Drosophila melanogaster: one gene and its partners. The protein of the gene in region 1 interacts with the protein of each later gene in a pairwise test. Each region holds a gene or a part of one and is shown on either strand. Other genes may lie near its edges.

Evidence for each region.
Region 2: the proteins of scu (region 1) and Mpcp2 interact in a two-hybrid assay, tested with the Drosophila melanogaster proteins (one large-scale study listed by BioGRID).
Region 3: the proteins of scu (region 1) and Drgx interact in a two-hybrid assay, tested with the Drosophila melanogaster proteins (one large-scale study listed by BioGRID).

The regions. Positions count from the first base shown.
Region 1 is NC_004354.4:18,089,406-18,093,468, reverse strand, and holds scu (scully), read right to left. Parts: upstream 2,211-4,063; 5' UTR 2,088-2,210; coding exon 2,079-2,087; intron 1,915-2,078; exon of another isoform or gene 1,815-1,914; intron 1,518-1,814; coding exon 759-1,517; 3' UTR 616-758; downstream 1-615. Other genes in the region: Swt1 RNA endoribonuclease, read left to right, coding at 3,047-3,152, 3,232-3,486, 3,545-4,063. UniProt on the Drosophila melanogaster protein: Mitochondrial dehydrogenase involved in pathways of fatty acid, and steroid metabolism.
Region 2 is NT_037436.4:14,535,821-14,541,060, reverse strand, and holds Mpcp2 (mitochondrial phosphate carrier protein 2), read right to left. Parts: upstream 3,411-5,240; 5' UTR 3,359-3,410; intron 3,336-3,358; exon of another isoform or gene 3,213-3,335; intron 3,058-3,212; 5' UTR 3,030-3,057; coding exon 2,640-3,029; intron 2,333-2,639; coding exon 1,992-2,332; intron 1,509-1,991; coding exon 1,169-1,508; 3' UTR 620-1,168; downstream 1-619. Other genes in the region: CG43246 (uncharacterized protein), read right to left, coding at 3,870-4,117, 4,169-4,427.
Region 3 is NT_033779.5:3,660,876-3,665,877, reverse strand, and holds the start of Drgx (dorsal root ganglia homeobox), read right to left. Parts: upstream 3,134-5,002; 5' UTR 2,572-3,133; intron 1-2,571.

The DNA of each region.
Region 1 (4,063 bases):
TGCTGACTCACAGTTCCCCCATTTTTGCTGGACTGCTCTAGCTATCGCTGTATAGACAGTCCAGCACAGTGTCCATTTCGTTCTTCTTCACTTAAAATGCATCCTCATTGACCACCAGTGCATCATCTCCTGCCGGGGATTCCTTCCACTTAAATTGCTCTGCGTCTTGTGTTCCCAAGCGATCCGTTTGCTGGACAGGGGGTACATTCTCCTGATCCCCGCCAGCTGCCCTACGAAGTTCCCGGCTCAGCAGCGCTGATATGGCATTATCTTCTGAAGAGCGATTTTCAAATGTTCGTTGTTTACATTTTGAAACGGAACTGCCAACTTGCGGGAACAACAGGGAAATCTTAAGGGCTAGCGACTTAGAAATACCCTTTTATTCAATAAATATTTAAGCTCAGACCAACTTTGTAAATATGATAGTAAACTATTTTCTTATTATAAATACATGGTTGCTTAAGAATTAATTGCACAAATAGTAAGTCAGTAATAAAATTGACTTACAAAAAATTAATCCACCTGTTGCAACGACCTGTGCAGCCAATACACCCCAGCTATCCCTTATATATAACCAGTGTTGAAGAACAGCAGGCAGACGCGCCTCCAAAATTTGAAATGTGACATTGTGTGTTTAATAGCAATTATTACATAATTTCGGGACAGATAATAAAACTTTTCAGCTTAACCACTAGACAATAGATAAATGCAAACTGATCGAGCCACTTCCACAGGTCCAAGACAGTGCTCAGCCGGATCTAGGGCATCATGCGCAGAGCACCGTCGATACGGATGACCTCGCCGTTGAGCAGCGGATTCTCGTAGATGGCCTGCACCAGGTGGGCGTACTCACTGGGCTCGCCCAGGCGCTGCGGGAACGGTATGGACTTGGCCAGGAAGGTGCGCACCTTCTCCGGCAGGGCGGCCAGCATAGGCGTGTTGAACAAACCCGGTGCAATGGTGCAGATACGTATGCCCTGGGTGCTCAAGTCACGGGCAATGGGCAGGGTCATGCCCACCACGGCTGCCTTGGAGGCGGAGTAGGCCGCCTGGCCGATCTGGCCATCAAAGGCAGCCACCGAGGCGGTGTTCACGATCACGCCGCGCTGTCCATCCTGATTGGGCTCATTGGCGCCCATCAGTCCGGCGGACAGACGGATCACATTGAACGTGCCCACGGTATTGATGTTGATCACCCGCTGGAAGTCTTCCAGGCGGTGCGCCACGTTCTTGTTGAAGTTGAACGTCTTTACCGCGGTGGCTGTGCCCGCACAGTTCACAGTCAGATCCAGACGACCGAACTTATCCTTGGCCGTCTGCAGAGCGGCGCTCACATCCTTCTCGGAGGTCACGTCCACGGGCACGAAGACCACCTTGTCGCCCAGCTCCTTGGCCACCTCGTTGCCCTTGGAGGAGGGCAGATCGGCCAGGATCACGCTGGCGCCCTGCTTGGCCAGGCGCTCGGCGGTGGCGCGGCCCAGTCCAGAGGCTCCTCCGGTCACCAGGGAAACGGCGTTCTGGGGGTGGGAAAGGCATGGGGTTAGAAACTATATATATATGTATATATCCAAGGAAATAGATTCTAAAAATGCACTCCATTCCATTTCATCCCAACTACAACATCAATGTTTAGAGATCTTAACAGAATAAGCATATAGAATGCAAAATATACGATCTGTAGGACTGAGATCCTTATCTTTAACAACATTGAGAAGTTGTCCGTTAAAGTTAGTATAGAAATAGCACGATCCTCAATTTGCAGATAAACTTATAATCCGATGCCGGTTTATCTTATTATTTCGAAAGCAGCTGACCGATGCGTTCGGTGTCCAGTTTCCCGATAAGCCGCATTGTATTATTGTATAACTCGGTGGGGAAGTAATGCTAATTGTTGGCTGGGTACAAGGTACATCGCTGTGGGCAGAGATACAGTTATTTATGGGACTCCATGTTTATAATAGACACGAGTTCACATCCCAATTGGACTTTGCACCCCGGCCGCGCAGTCATCGGCCGCTTTTGCTGCACTAATTCCCGTCTAATCGCAGTGTGATCCTTATTTACAGCACCCCACGTACCTTGATCATTGTTCTGGCTGGTGGCGTTGTGTTGTGGGTGCGAAAGGCGGTGGTTACTTAGTGCTCGGCAAAGCTTTTTAAGCAAAAACTTGTTAAGCGATTCGAAACCGTGCAGTGTGACCGTATGTGCGCCGCTTGAAAATACTGCCTACCGGTTAGGGGGCTCCTATCATTGGCTTAGCTTTTAAATTTTGAGTTTTTTTTTAAATTTAAATTTAAATCAATTTGTTTATTACCAAGCAATTAATTTGCAAGATTTTGAAAGAACTTTTAAATATAAATTACCTCGAGCAGGCAAACAGTGAAGATTTTATTTGGCAAGCTAACTAACTTGGCAACTTATTATTTCAAGAACATGTTTTTGCAACAATTAAGGTGGCAGCATTCAAGTCTTTATAAATGAAATCTTTAGCTATTCAAATTCAATGGCTTAAAACAACTTATGCTATAGATTATTACAGTAAATTTTAGTTATAAGCTATTCATTGTATGAATTCGTATTTAGCTTCCACGCCAAAATGTATGCCGTAGAATTACATATACTCATTTAATTTATTTTATGGTTTATAACTTAAATTAATTTGAACATAAACATTTATGCTTTAAATAAAAACAAAACATTGTTTCTGTTTAATTTAAGATTATTTTCATTTTTAATATTTCTTATTACTTCACTTAATAAATAATAATTAAAAAAAAATATTGCTTATATAAATAAGGAGTATTTTAAATAAATCATAACAAAGTTATATCCGAATTTAATTTATACCCCCAATTTATATACTTTTGTCCTCCGATGTATGGAAGAACATCGATGATTCCTCGAAAAACATCGATGCTTGTGATTGTTTGAAAAGATCGATGATATCGATGATGTCATCGATGTTTCTCCACCTCTAAGTCAGATTGCCTATTGAAATACAAAATAAATGAGTACTTCCTAGAAATCAAATGTTAAAGAACACAATATGTCGCTCGGTGGAGAAAGTAAGCACACGCCAAAGTCTTCCAATCTGAGGCCGTTGGACGACGACCAGCTGGTTAGGATCATCAGCACGCCACGTCCGTCAAATGGTAAAACCCATGCAAACTGCGCGTTTGCCAGAATGCCAGAACCAAGATTCAACTCCACTTTTCCACGCAATATGGCAAGGAGTGAGCCAGCATCCCGCCCAGGACCGCCTCAAGCGCCTGCAGGGCCAACTAAAGCGGGTGCAGGACAACGAGAAGGAGCAGGGGACCACCAAGCGGATCACCCACAGTTCCTCCGCATCTCGTCGATCAAGTGCGTCCACATCTACGCCCCAGCGACTCCTGAAGTTTCCGCCTAAGGTGGCGATGAATGCCTGGGAAAAGCCAAAAGCCCTGGTCGATGCCAATCGCCTGAAGGCGGGACGTACCCAAACTGGTGAGTGCCCGGTGCATATAGTTACTCATATCCCATGTTCTCCTTATCGTCTCCCTAGCCTACCAGCGTCTCATGCTGTTAAGAGCTTCGCTGCAGCAGAAGCAGCTATATGAGGAGCGCAACAACAATATTGTGGCCAAGATCAACGAAGAGGTGATAGAAAAACAACCAGAAGCCTGCAACATCACAAATCCAAGTGCATTTGATGGCTCGACGGCCAGCGATATGGAGGTCGAGCCCATGGAATGGCAGGAGTCTATTGAAGAGGAGGCGGCACAGAATGATCAGGATGAGGCTAAGAAAGGGGACGACACTCTATTGATGCTGCCGGCGGAGTCCATTGAAGAGGAGGCGCCACAGAAAGGTCAGGATGAGGCTAAGGAAGAGGACGACACTATATTGATGCTGCAGGCGGCCGATGCCGAGGAGCTGCCCCCAAGGCTTGAGGATTACATGTACTTTGTGCTGGACACCAACGTCCTCATACACAACCACAAGTTCGTGGAGAGACTGACCGATGTGGTGCTGCCGGGCACGGTGGGCAGCATGCTGTACCTTCCGTACATAGTAATCAAAG
Region 2 (5,240 bases), on another chromosome or scaffold:
TATATATGTGCCCATATATAAAGCGTACTATTTAATTATTTAGTTTTTACTGGACTTATGACACAACGAGCCACTGTAATGTCTTATTCAGCTCAATGCTCATAAACAAAATAAATATTTTTGGAAAAAATACTGTAGTTCTTCTTATTTAGCCAAGACGTCCAAACCTTTTTTTAATAAATTTAATTGAGATGAAGATTTGCATTCGAATTCTATAGAAGCATCAAACAAATATTACAACAGTATCGAGTGGGTTATTAAAAATTAAATATGTAAAAATCGCTCATTGTGTTAAAATATTAATTATAATAGATTAGCTCAAACATCTTAAATCGACATTTTGTGCAACACATAAAAATTCTCGCAGACAATTGGCAGCTGATTACGATTAAACAAAACCGAAATTAGCCGTTTTCCTTTAAAGCAATCAGCATTCGTGATCTCTTGTTTGGTTACCTCACAATGCTAGTTAGTTATAGCGCCATAAAACCCCATTTTCAATGTCAGGGAAATCATAAGGTCATAAGGTTATCCCCACGATCGTTCTAATGTGATCACAGCCACAATCTATAATAACCAGTTCCCAATAGATAGACAAGATTAGAAAACGCAGCTTGGTAGAGTTTTTTATATTTTATAATTTAATTTATTCAGAGTGCTTTCTTGGGTATCGGGTCAGACAATTGAAACAGCATTAATATCATATTCGCATGTGTGGCCTGTGGGGGCAGCGGAGAGGAGATAACAAGGGGCTGGCCATCAAAGGTACAACATACGGACATACTTTCCAGCGAAAGCTAGACACACATAGGATTAAATATAGCACATAGTATAACAGAATATATATGGAATTGAATACTTTGAACTTGAGTGTAGCTTAGTTTCGTACGATAGAATGTTTGGCTTTTAAAGTTAGAAAGATGTGTTTATAAAAAAGTGTGTATAAGTGCTGTGTTAGAGAAATGCGTAAAGTGTTGTTTTGGAATGTACATGTGCAATGGCACACACGCAACATTAATGTATTCTTGCTGAGAAACAAGTATAAAGCATTTTCGCTATACTGAAACCGAAATTCGTTAGAAAGTAAAAGTATGTTGCTCCTGTGTCTGCCCACAATCGCTCCAACTAGTGAACTCTGTCCTTAAGGTAACCAATTGGACTAGCCCACTTAATGCTGCTTGGCCTTCAGGCTAGCTGGCATCTCTGGTGGTGGTGGGCGGGGAATGCCCAGGGCGACCTTCACACCATCGTAGATGAACCACTGCAGAGCGGTCAGGGTACCGATCATGATAATACGAGGAGTCAATCCGTTCCACATGCCACTGAAGCCCAGCGACTTGGCCACGCTGATGGCGCTAGCTCCCTTGGCCTGGTTCAGCTTGGACACCACCACATCAGCGGGATGCGACACCACGGCACAGAACACACCGGCGATGTAGCCAGCGGCGAAGGTCACGATCAGCTGCTCGCCCTTGGTGCAGTCGGCACGAGGCTTGGGCACCACATACCTGGGAAAAGTTGCATCATTAGTATTGATTTAACGGGGTTCGTTGGGGCTTGACAACCCGAACTGTGAACGGTATTGCTCTAGTTTTTACATTTGAACTTTCAGTGGCTACCTGCTAATTTGCACTTCAAAAGGAATGCTTTGCTTTTTTTATTTTATCCATAGTAACAAACTAGTTCTGAAATAATATGATTTTCCTATATTTGAACAAGATAAGCATTCGTCGTTGGTTTTTATTCTGGCGTGCCATTTATTAGATACGAATGGCATTCTTATCTGCTGACGCGCTAAAAGTTTATTTTATTATGAATACTTTCAGTTTTGATCAATTAGCATATCACTTTTGAAATTTCACAGATTAACAGTCTACCTTTAAACTATTGTAATAGCAAAACGCTAATACGAATACAGATATTGTGCACAGCACTGGTAAGTTTTTCCGCTGTAGAAACTAGAGGATACCTAAAGAGGAAATGTTACTTACTTGTAGAGCAGCTCCACGGTGCGCTCGAAGCAAGCGAACTTCATCATGGTGTATGGGATCTGTCGCATCCACAGGGGAACCAGACCCTTGTAGAAGGCATTGACGCCCTCCTCCTTTAGCATCTTGGGCACTGCCTCGCGGAAGTTGTTGGCGTATCCGGGAATAGTCTGGATCTTCACCTTGGCGGCCTCGAACGGCGCCAGAGCGATATCGGCGAAGAACTCGGCCGAAGCGGAAGCAGCCAGATACAAGGAGGTGCGGTACAGGTAGGCGTTCTCCTCGCCAATGATTTCGGCGTACTTCACCTTGAACAACTCGTACAGACCGAACTTGCACAGACCCTGAAAGATACAGAAACGCGGATTAGCCTGCTGTTTCTCAGAAGTTATTTTTCAGTTTGCAGTAGTATCCAAGATTTTATCTTCGGTATCTGTTTCTCCCGTAACCATAAAGTTGTCAAAGGTGTGTTGTTATTCTGAGGTATACTAAGATATCAGCCTAGGAATCAAACTTCCTAATGTTCGATTCGAATCACTTTTATCTGCTTCAAGCCCGGAACCGATGTAATTAAGGTCAGCCGACCTGGTCACGAGCATATAATTCGCCTCCAGACGATTATGCAACCCATAAAGTGAAGCCCAATCTCACCTGTGCCGAGTAGCCGAGCAGAGTGGGGAACCAGCCCTTAGCCAGTCCGCGGGCGCCCTCCTCCGCCACGGTGACCTTGAATCCGTGCACCAGATTCTTGTACTTGGCCTGGTCGACCTGCAGACGGCACTTCACCAGATCCAGTGGGACCACGAAGGTGTGGGTGGTGCCGCAGCTGAGAATGCCACCAATTCCGCACAGAGCGAAGTACTTGGTGCTGCCGAATTCGCACGAATCCTGCTGGTTGGCCACCGGGGTAGCGGCGGCGGCGATCTGGCGACCCTCAACCGGCTGGGGTTCCACCACTGGGGCGGCGGCATCGCATCTTGCCATCGACATGGGGGTGCGGAATGGCGAGTTCCGGGCAGTTTCAAAGAAGCTGGAGAACATCTTGATTCTGTTCTTGTTCTGGGGTCGGCTGAAAGTAGAGAGACCATCCATTAGTTACGTATATATGTACCTCGGAGGCGACATGTGCTTTATCTAATTATATATATAGCTGGGTAATCAGCTGCTTTTCGCTTTTGTAGGTTACATAACGGCGTGCCTCGAATTCCGAGCACCCGGACTTACGACACCAAATTTACCCGAAAAGCGAAGGATTTTAAGCAACCACGTAAATTTAGTGTATGTTAAGGGAGCGATAGAGCACCGCTCGGCTACTTTGATTTCGATTTTACAAAACTTATGCAATTTTCGCTCGGAATTTTCGCACTTACTATTCGTCAGCAACGTTAGCGGCTCGTTGGCGAGGATTCAAAGAATGAGGGGGGGCTCACGGAGGTGCAGCGATTTCTCACGAATACCAAAACGCCTTAATGGTTTTGCCGTGGAGAGGTGTAACTAGCGGATTGAGGATAGTTGGCCACACTCATGTCAAAATCTTCGGCTATGGACTGCAACCTTGGTGCAAAACTTTGGTGGCGCCTGAGCGTGGACTCGAACCATCTGCATACGAGGTATCAGGTGAGATTATTTTAATGCCATTGCCTTCGTTGTGAATAAAATATTAATTATTAATATTAATTTCATATTGATAACATTAGTTGTAAATATTTTGAAAAAATAATAAATTCATTTGTAAAATCCTCATATTTTTGCATAGTATTTGTGATTTGTTTTCTATTTTTACACAATAAAACAAATTTTAATCTAAAGCTTTATTGTATTTAGAACTCTCTGTAAAATATATAACAATTTTCAATTATATGTACATTTTAAATTTATAAGTTATAGCCCCATGGTAAAACTGGATAATTTTATGAGTAAATATGTGAAAATAAAGTTCTGCCATGATTTCACATGGGGTTGGCCCAATCCTTCACTTTTTACGCACGGACAGGAAATTAGGCCTTTGTATTCCATTTTATATTTCACTCTGCAAGTGAAGCAAAATTCACCCTGGTGATCTTCAGTTAATAAGATTTGACAACCGATTTCTGGTGACCAAACGCAGCAGACTTTGGCATTCATAGTATCTGTAAAATTAAAAAATTAGTCTTTTATTACTATTCAAATGCTTCTTATACCGATATGCAGTCCGGGTGGAACGCAAACACCCTCTTTATTGGTTGTTTTTGGGAATTCACCTTGTAGACGACCCAATCGCCTATAAAAGTTTCCTTCATAACAACTGAATCCTGTCTCTTTAATCCGACACATTTCCGTATTTTCCTTCCTACAATCTAAGCATCTCCCATTTTCTATTATAGATACGTTTTTTTCGGCACAGGTGATCAACAGTCTCCCACTGAGTATAATAAGAAAATATATACAATTAAAAGACATTTAAAATAAGAAAAATAATTCAATGAGACCGCGTTGATAAAGTTTATGTATGTATTTCCAAAGGCCACTATGTACGACTATTGTTACAAAACGAACAAAAGTGACTGATAATATACACTTGGATATTTATATTATGTAGGTTATTATTAAGTTCAAGGATTATTTAAGCCTTTCCGCCTTTTTTGTGGTTCTTACCAAAAGAACTTCAACGGACTCTTTCGCTAAGCTTTGAGTCTGTCTTTCGATTGTCTTTGTGCTTCTTTCTTTTTGTTTGCCGCCGTCTTTGCTTTTGCTTGTGCTTTTGTATTTGCTGTGTTTGCTCGCTCGTGGATTTCTGTGGAGTGAAGTTCGGTCGTCAGTTTGAGTTTGGTTCGTAGCGCGTTCGCACACGCGCGCTGTAGTAGTCCGATATATAGTTGATTCCCATTCGATCCGAGATCCGATCCGATATGATCGTTGTTGTGCCCCTCGCCGCCTCTCGCTCGCTCTAATCAGTTGGCCAACGTTTTAGGTCTGCGTACTTCGCGGCTAATTTCCAACTTAAGAAGTGAAAAACAACAAAATCTGGCAAATAATTGAGTAATTAAAGTTAAACGTAAGGAGAGCTGCTCTGCCAAGTGTTTTGTGTTAGTGCTTTTGTGTAACGGTCTGCTAACTGGAGCTGGATCTGAAATAGAGATTACGGCAAAGTGTTTTAGTAAATTGAATGTGGATAAGTTTTGAAAGCTTGAGAGTGGATGCGATAAACTGATCGATTTGGGTTTAGTCTGAGAAGAGGAAGCTTAAGTCGAAAAGTAATCAAGAGATTGGTCA
Region 3 (5,002 bases), on another chromosome or scaffold:
CAAAGCCCCGTCCCGCTGGCATTAGAGCCACTTAAACGCATTTGCGAAATTGCCTACCGCCCACCCACACACTCGTTTAGCTCTAGTTTTCCTAGTTTTTTTTGTTTTTGTTGTTGCCCCAAACCGAGAGCGCGATAATTTCCCACTGAGGTGAGATGATATGGTAATGGGAGGAGGAGGAGGAGGTGGAAGTGGGTGGCGGTAAACTGGCCGTCCAGCGATGAGGTTATCACTTTTGCCACCGAAGTAAAGTGCATCCGTTTTTAGAAATGTCTGCCTGTCCGGCCGGCGTAATCAAACTAAACTGGCGCAGTCTGCCACTGATGATCCAACTTGGAGTGGGCTGTGATATGATGGATACAGTAGAGCTTCCAGGTGCGGAAAGGATTTTTCAATATAATATTCATATCACAGTAGCTGAGAGTTATGATCTATCTACTCAATGATCTATCTAATATTTAAATGAAATACATACAAGTTGTTACACTTTCATGTTTTTGGAATCTCCACTGTCTAGCCAAACCATTTGCATATGCCCCCATCTAAGTATCCCTCTTGATTGCAGTTTTGGTTGAGCGTTTTCCTTTTTTTTTTTGCATATTTTTTTGCTGCTCTTGTTTTTGTCTCGCGGCGCATTAAGCGAATTTGCGAGGTTCGAATTTGATTGTGTCAATTGGCTCGCGCCTAGAATCAGGGAATCAGAGCCTCAGTGTAAATCGGACCGAAATGATGCAGTGCATTTGGCCGGAGAGCCACCCACCAGCGAATCAGCGCCCGAATGCTGCACTGCAAAAAATGAGCGTAAATTGAATTAGGCAGCCGTGTTGCACCCCCGCCAGTTTTTCGTGTCCAAGTGCCGCCAGCTTATACAAACTCGAAAGCCAAACAGAGCCGATTCCGAAAGCTAACCCTTTCAATTATATATACTTGATATACATACATAAATACATATATGTATGGTATATCGTCATCTTCGGGGCGCCCGCATGGGGAGGAAAATCCGTTGATCACCCCTACTGACTTGGTCTTCTTGTTTTATAAATATTTTGATTGAATTTTCTGTTTAATTAAAGCAAATTGTTTTGTGCATTTCAGTTGGTTAGGGTATGGGAGGTGTTGGCACCATATATTTATTAAGCTTTGTGGGGGGTCGTTAAGTGATTGAGAAACACAGGGGATGAATTAAAGTGGGCTATGAAATTTGCTAAGAGTGTGATGACGAAATCAAATGAATATGCTATATACAGATAATCAGTTCTAATTGTCGAATTATTCATTATAAATATATTAATATATTACAATAAGTTAATATTTAGATGGTTAAATATCTTTTTGAAACTAGTGGTACGGTGACATGTCTCATTTGCATATGGAAAGCCTCGGCGAGAATGTGTGGACTCCAATCTATCCATCAATTTGGAGCATTCACCAATTCGTTGCCCAATTCAATCAAGCAATCAATAAACATGGCCGAACTAACCTCCTTCGACTAACGTTCTCTGCGGTAATTCCATTTGCTAATTTAAATATGCCAAATTGTATTTTATTTGTATGCGGCCCTATCGCACCAGCCCCCTTTTTAACCCCCCCATTCAGCGCCCATTTCACTGCCCCTTTTTTGCACCCATGCTTCCCTAATTGAGTTGAACGAATCGAACAAAACTTGGCGACGAATGGAAAAACCGTTCGTCAACTCCAATTGACTCCTATGTGGATCCATCCAGTCAGACTTCCCAACCCTGTGTGCCACCCACCGCCCTCTTGCGTGGGCGTGGCATCCAGTGGAGCGTTGAACGTTTGCATGGCTGCCAATTAATTTGCGGTTGATCAATTTAATTTGAAACTTCGTTTTCCCCACTTCTTTTTTTTTTTGTTTGGTTTGCTCTTTGGCGAATTATTTGCCATTGATTTTGTACCCTTGCTCCATCTCCGTTGCGCACATGGAGAATCGGAATCCACGAGCTGTCTCCTCTTTTTTTCCCTCTCTTAATTACCATCAATTATTCAAACTGCATTTGCGGAGTGATCAACTTTTGGTCTGTCTTCAATTAAGCGGCGAGTTTTCAACCGAAATACCCCATCCCTTGCTGTTTTCGGGGGCAATCTCCTTTTGGATCCTTGCTGCCGAATCCTTTATGCATACACCAATTTTGGTTTTAATTCTTTTTTCGCCTCCAATCCACGCTTCTTTCACATTTGCACTTCAAGTGCTTGACGAGTTTTGTGCGATTTCTCACAGGAAAGGCATCGGCACAAACACTTTTGCCAGACACTTCGGGTCTGGCTCACAAAAACACACACTCCAGGACTCCGGACTCTCGAAGGCCGAGATTCTTATCACACTGAAACTCATTAGGAAATTTCCTTAATGCAAATTAAAAGCGTCTAAATAAATTATGAGCGCACGGTGTGCTGCGATTTGAATGGGAAGTTGAGGATTATCTTTTGAATCAGTTGCTTGAGGATAACAAACAATTCGATCATAACGTTCCAAAACCCGTTAATAATAATTCTTTTCTAAAGGAATTTCCGACTTTGTTATAAATCAAATGAGTGCATAAGAGATATTACCTTATTACCGTCCGTGAAAATTTTGGCAGCAATACTTCAAGCGTGTGACAGAAGAAAATCCCTTGTCGCTCTTGTTTTTTTGACTTTTTGGCGCTGAGCTCTGTTTGAGTTTAACTTTTTCGCAATTTTCACAGAACGAACGAACACGCAAGACAAAGGTGCGAAAGTTTCCCCGAGCTAAACAAGTCTAAACACTTGCCAGGAAGTTTTGCAAAAAGTTTTCAACAAGGATACGTGGGCGAATCACAAAGGAAGTTGGGCAATGTTAAGGATTCCTCTACAAATTACACGCTCAATCTCAGAGGTAATAGGCCGCAAAGAGTAGTTAGTTTTGGGTTAAGAACAAACACACACGTAGGTTTAGCACTTGAAGGAGCTGGATGTCTATGAGGAGTTTTGAGTTTTTCCAGCCTTGTTCGCAGCACCGTTTTGCCGACGGAAAAGTTTCCTTTTAGAGATTAAAAAATTGTCATTTAATCCAGACGGGTAATACGTATTTTTTCGGGGGATTTAGTAAGATCTATATGACATATATATAGTAGTGTGGATAGTGTTCAACCGACCGCGTGAAACGTCAGAATGCGAATGATCTAACGGTGCTTGCCGCAGTCGCAACGTCGACAGCGCAGTCGGCTGCAAATTAGATCTGCGCCGGCAGAAAGATGGCTGCGGGTGGGAAAGAGATGGAGGAGGAGGAATGGGGATGATGCCCCTAAGCGCCGCCTTTGCCATTTCCCGTTATTTTCGCTCGCGCATGCGCCGCGCAGCCAGCAAACCAAAGCGCAGTTGTTTCGAGACATATACCCATCTCGCTCGCTCACCCAACCCCCTCACTCCCTCTCTCTTTTGCTCTTTCTCCGGCATGTAAGACAATTTTCTCGCGCATTTTCATTGTGGAAATTGAATTTTCGGCATGGAGAGCTGCAAAAACAAAAACAGAAACGTTGAAGGGGCTCTCGTGTTCCTAATATCCCTATCTACTCTTATCCCTATCTACTTTATTTTATTACACTTTATTTAGGTGGCAAGGAGAGAGCGAGCGAAAGAGACGGGACTAGCCCCAAGGGGGGGAAGGAGAGCGCAAACAACTGAGGCAGCCTTAAATTGGATTTTCATCGTTAAGTGTGGTGAATGTGTGTGGGGCAGGGGGGTGGGGGATGCGGGAAGAAATGGGCGATACGGGAAGAAGAATCGCCTTCTTCGGGGAATCGCTTTGGTGCTCTTCGGGGAAGAGGAAGAGGATACTACAGCAGTAACAATAAGAAAACGATTACTCACCGTTGGTATTTATTTGGCATATCATTTTTTACCCCTCCCCACCCCCCACGAACTTTTTCTTTTCTTTGTGCCCCACTTGACAACTCAATTTATTTAGATTAATCTCTCATCTTGGGCAAAAAATAAATAACTAAGTGAATTTCAGTTAATTTATTATGGAGCATCATTGTTATGGCTTTTCTGTTTCCTCCCCCAAAGAAGAAAACACCCCGTATAATAGCAATTCCCAATCCCAGTGACGCCATCTTGGATCCCATTTATTATTGTTTGCCTGAATGGGTTCCTCTAGCTGTCCTTCGCCCCTCGACCTCTGACCCCTCTCTCAACCCCACCCCCCCTTCTTGCCACATGGCTCTTTGGCCACAATTACGAAATGAATTTGTGGCCTTCCGCAGTCCCTATTCTTCCCCTTTTATGCACTGCCGTAATTCCATCACAAATCTTACCTGAAATGTTCTTATTCCTAGGTAAAACATTATATAAATATCAAGCGAAATAAAATACTTTGCTTTACAATCTTTGAAATAGTATGAGTAGATGCTCTTCAAATTCTAAAAAAAACATGTAATATTTTTTATAATATTTTGCAACTGCTTTCTATTTTATTATCATAATCCAATTGTAAAAACTTGATCATCATTTGAGAATATATTTTTTAAAGTGTTCTGAATTTGGCATTTTGGGCGTGCAGGATAACTATTCAGTTTCTTCTGGCTCTCCTACGCTCTCCCCTCGCCTGCCGCTCCTTTCATTTGGGGGTAGCCTGTCAGGCCTGCAAATTGGCGCCCTGATTTATGACTTTGTCTATTGTTAGCTTACTTCCTTTGCCACCCACAGGCTCCTGGATTGCGGCCCCACTACGTTCCTCCATCATTAGTTTGTATTTTAGTTTCATTTCCAATCCGAATTTCATTTCATTTTGCGCTTAAATTTTGTTTTGTCCTCTTTGATTGTGTTTATTTTCCACTCCCTCTACATTTTCGGCGCTTTTCTTGGTTGGTTCGTTTTAGTGGAATTACCTACTTCATAATAGATGAGTCTGGGATTCGTTTTGGACGCCAGAGAGAAGGCGTGGCACTCGGCTTCTAACGCCTCTTCCTTTGGCAGGTGAGTTTCCAGCGATTCGGAGGAGGAAAAAAGATTTTTCCATCCA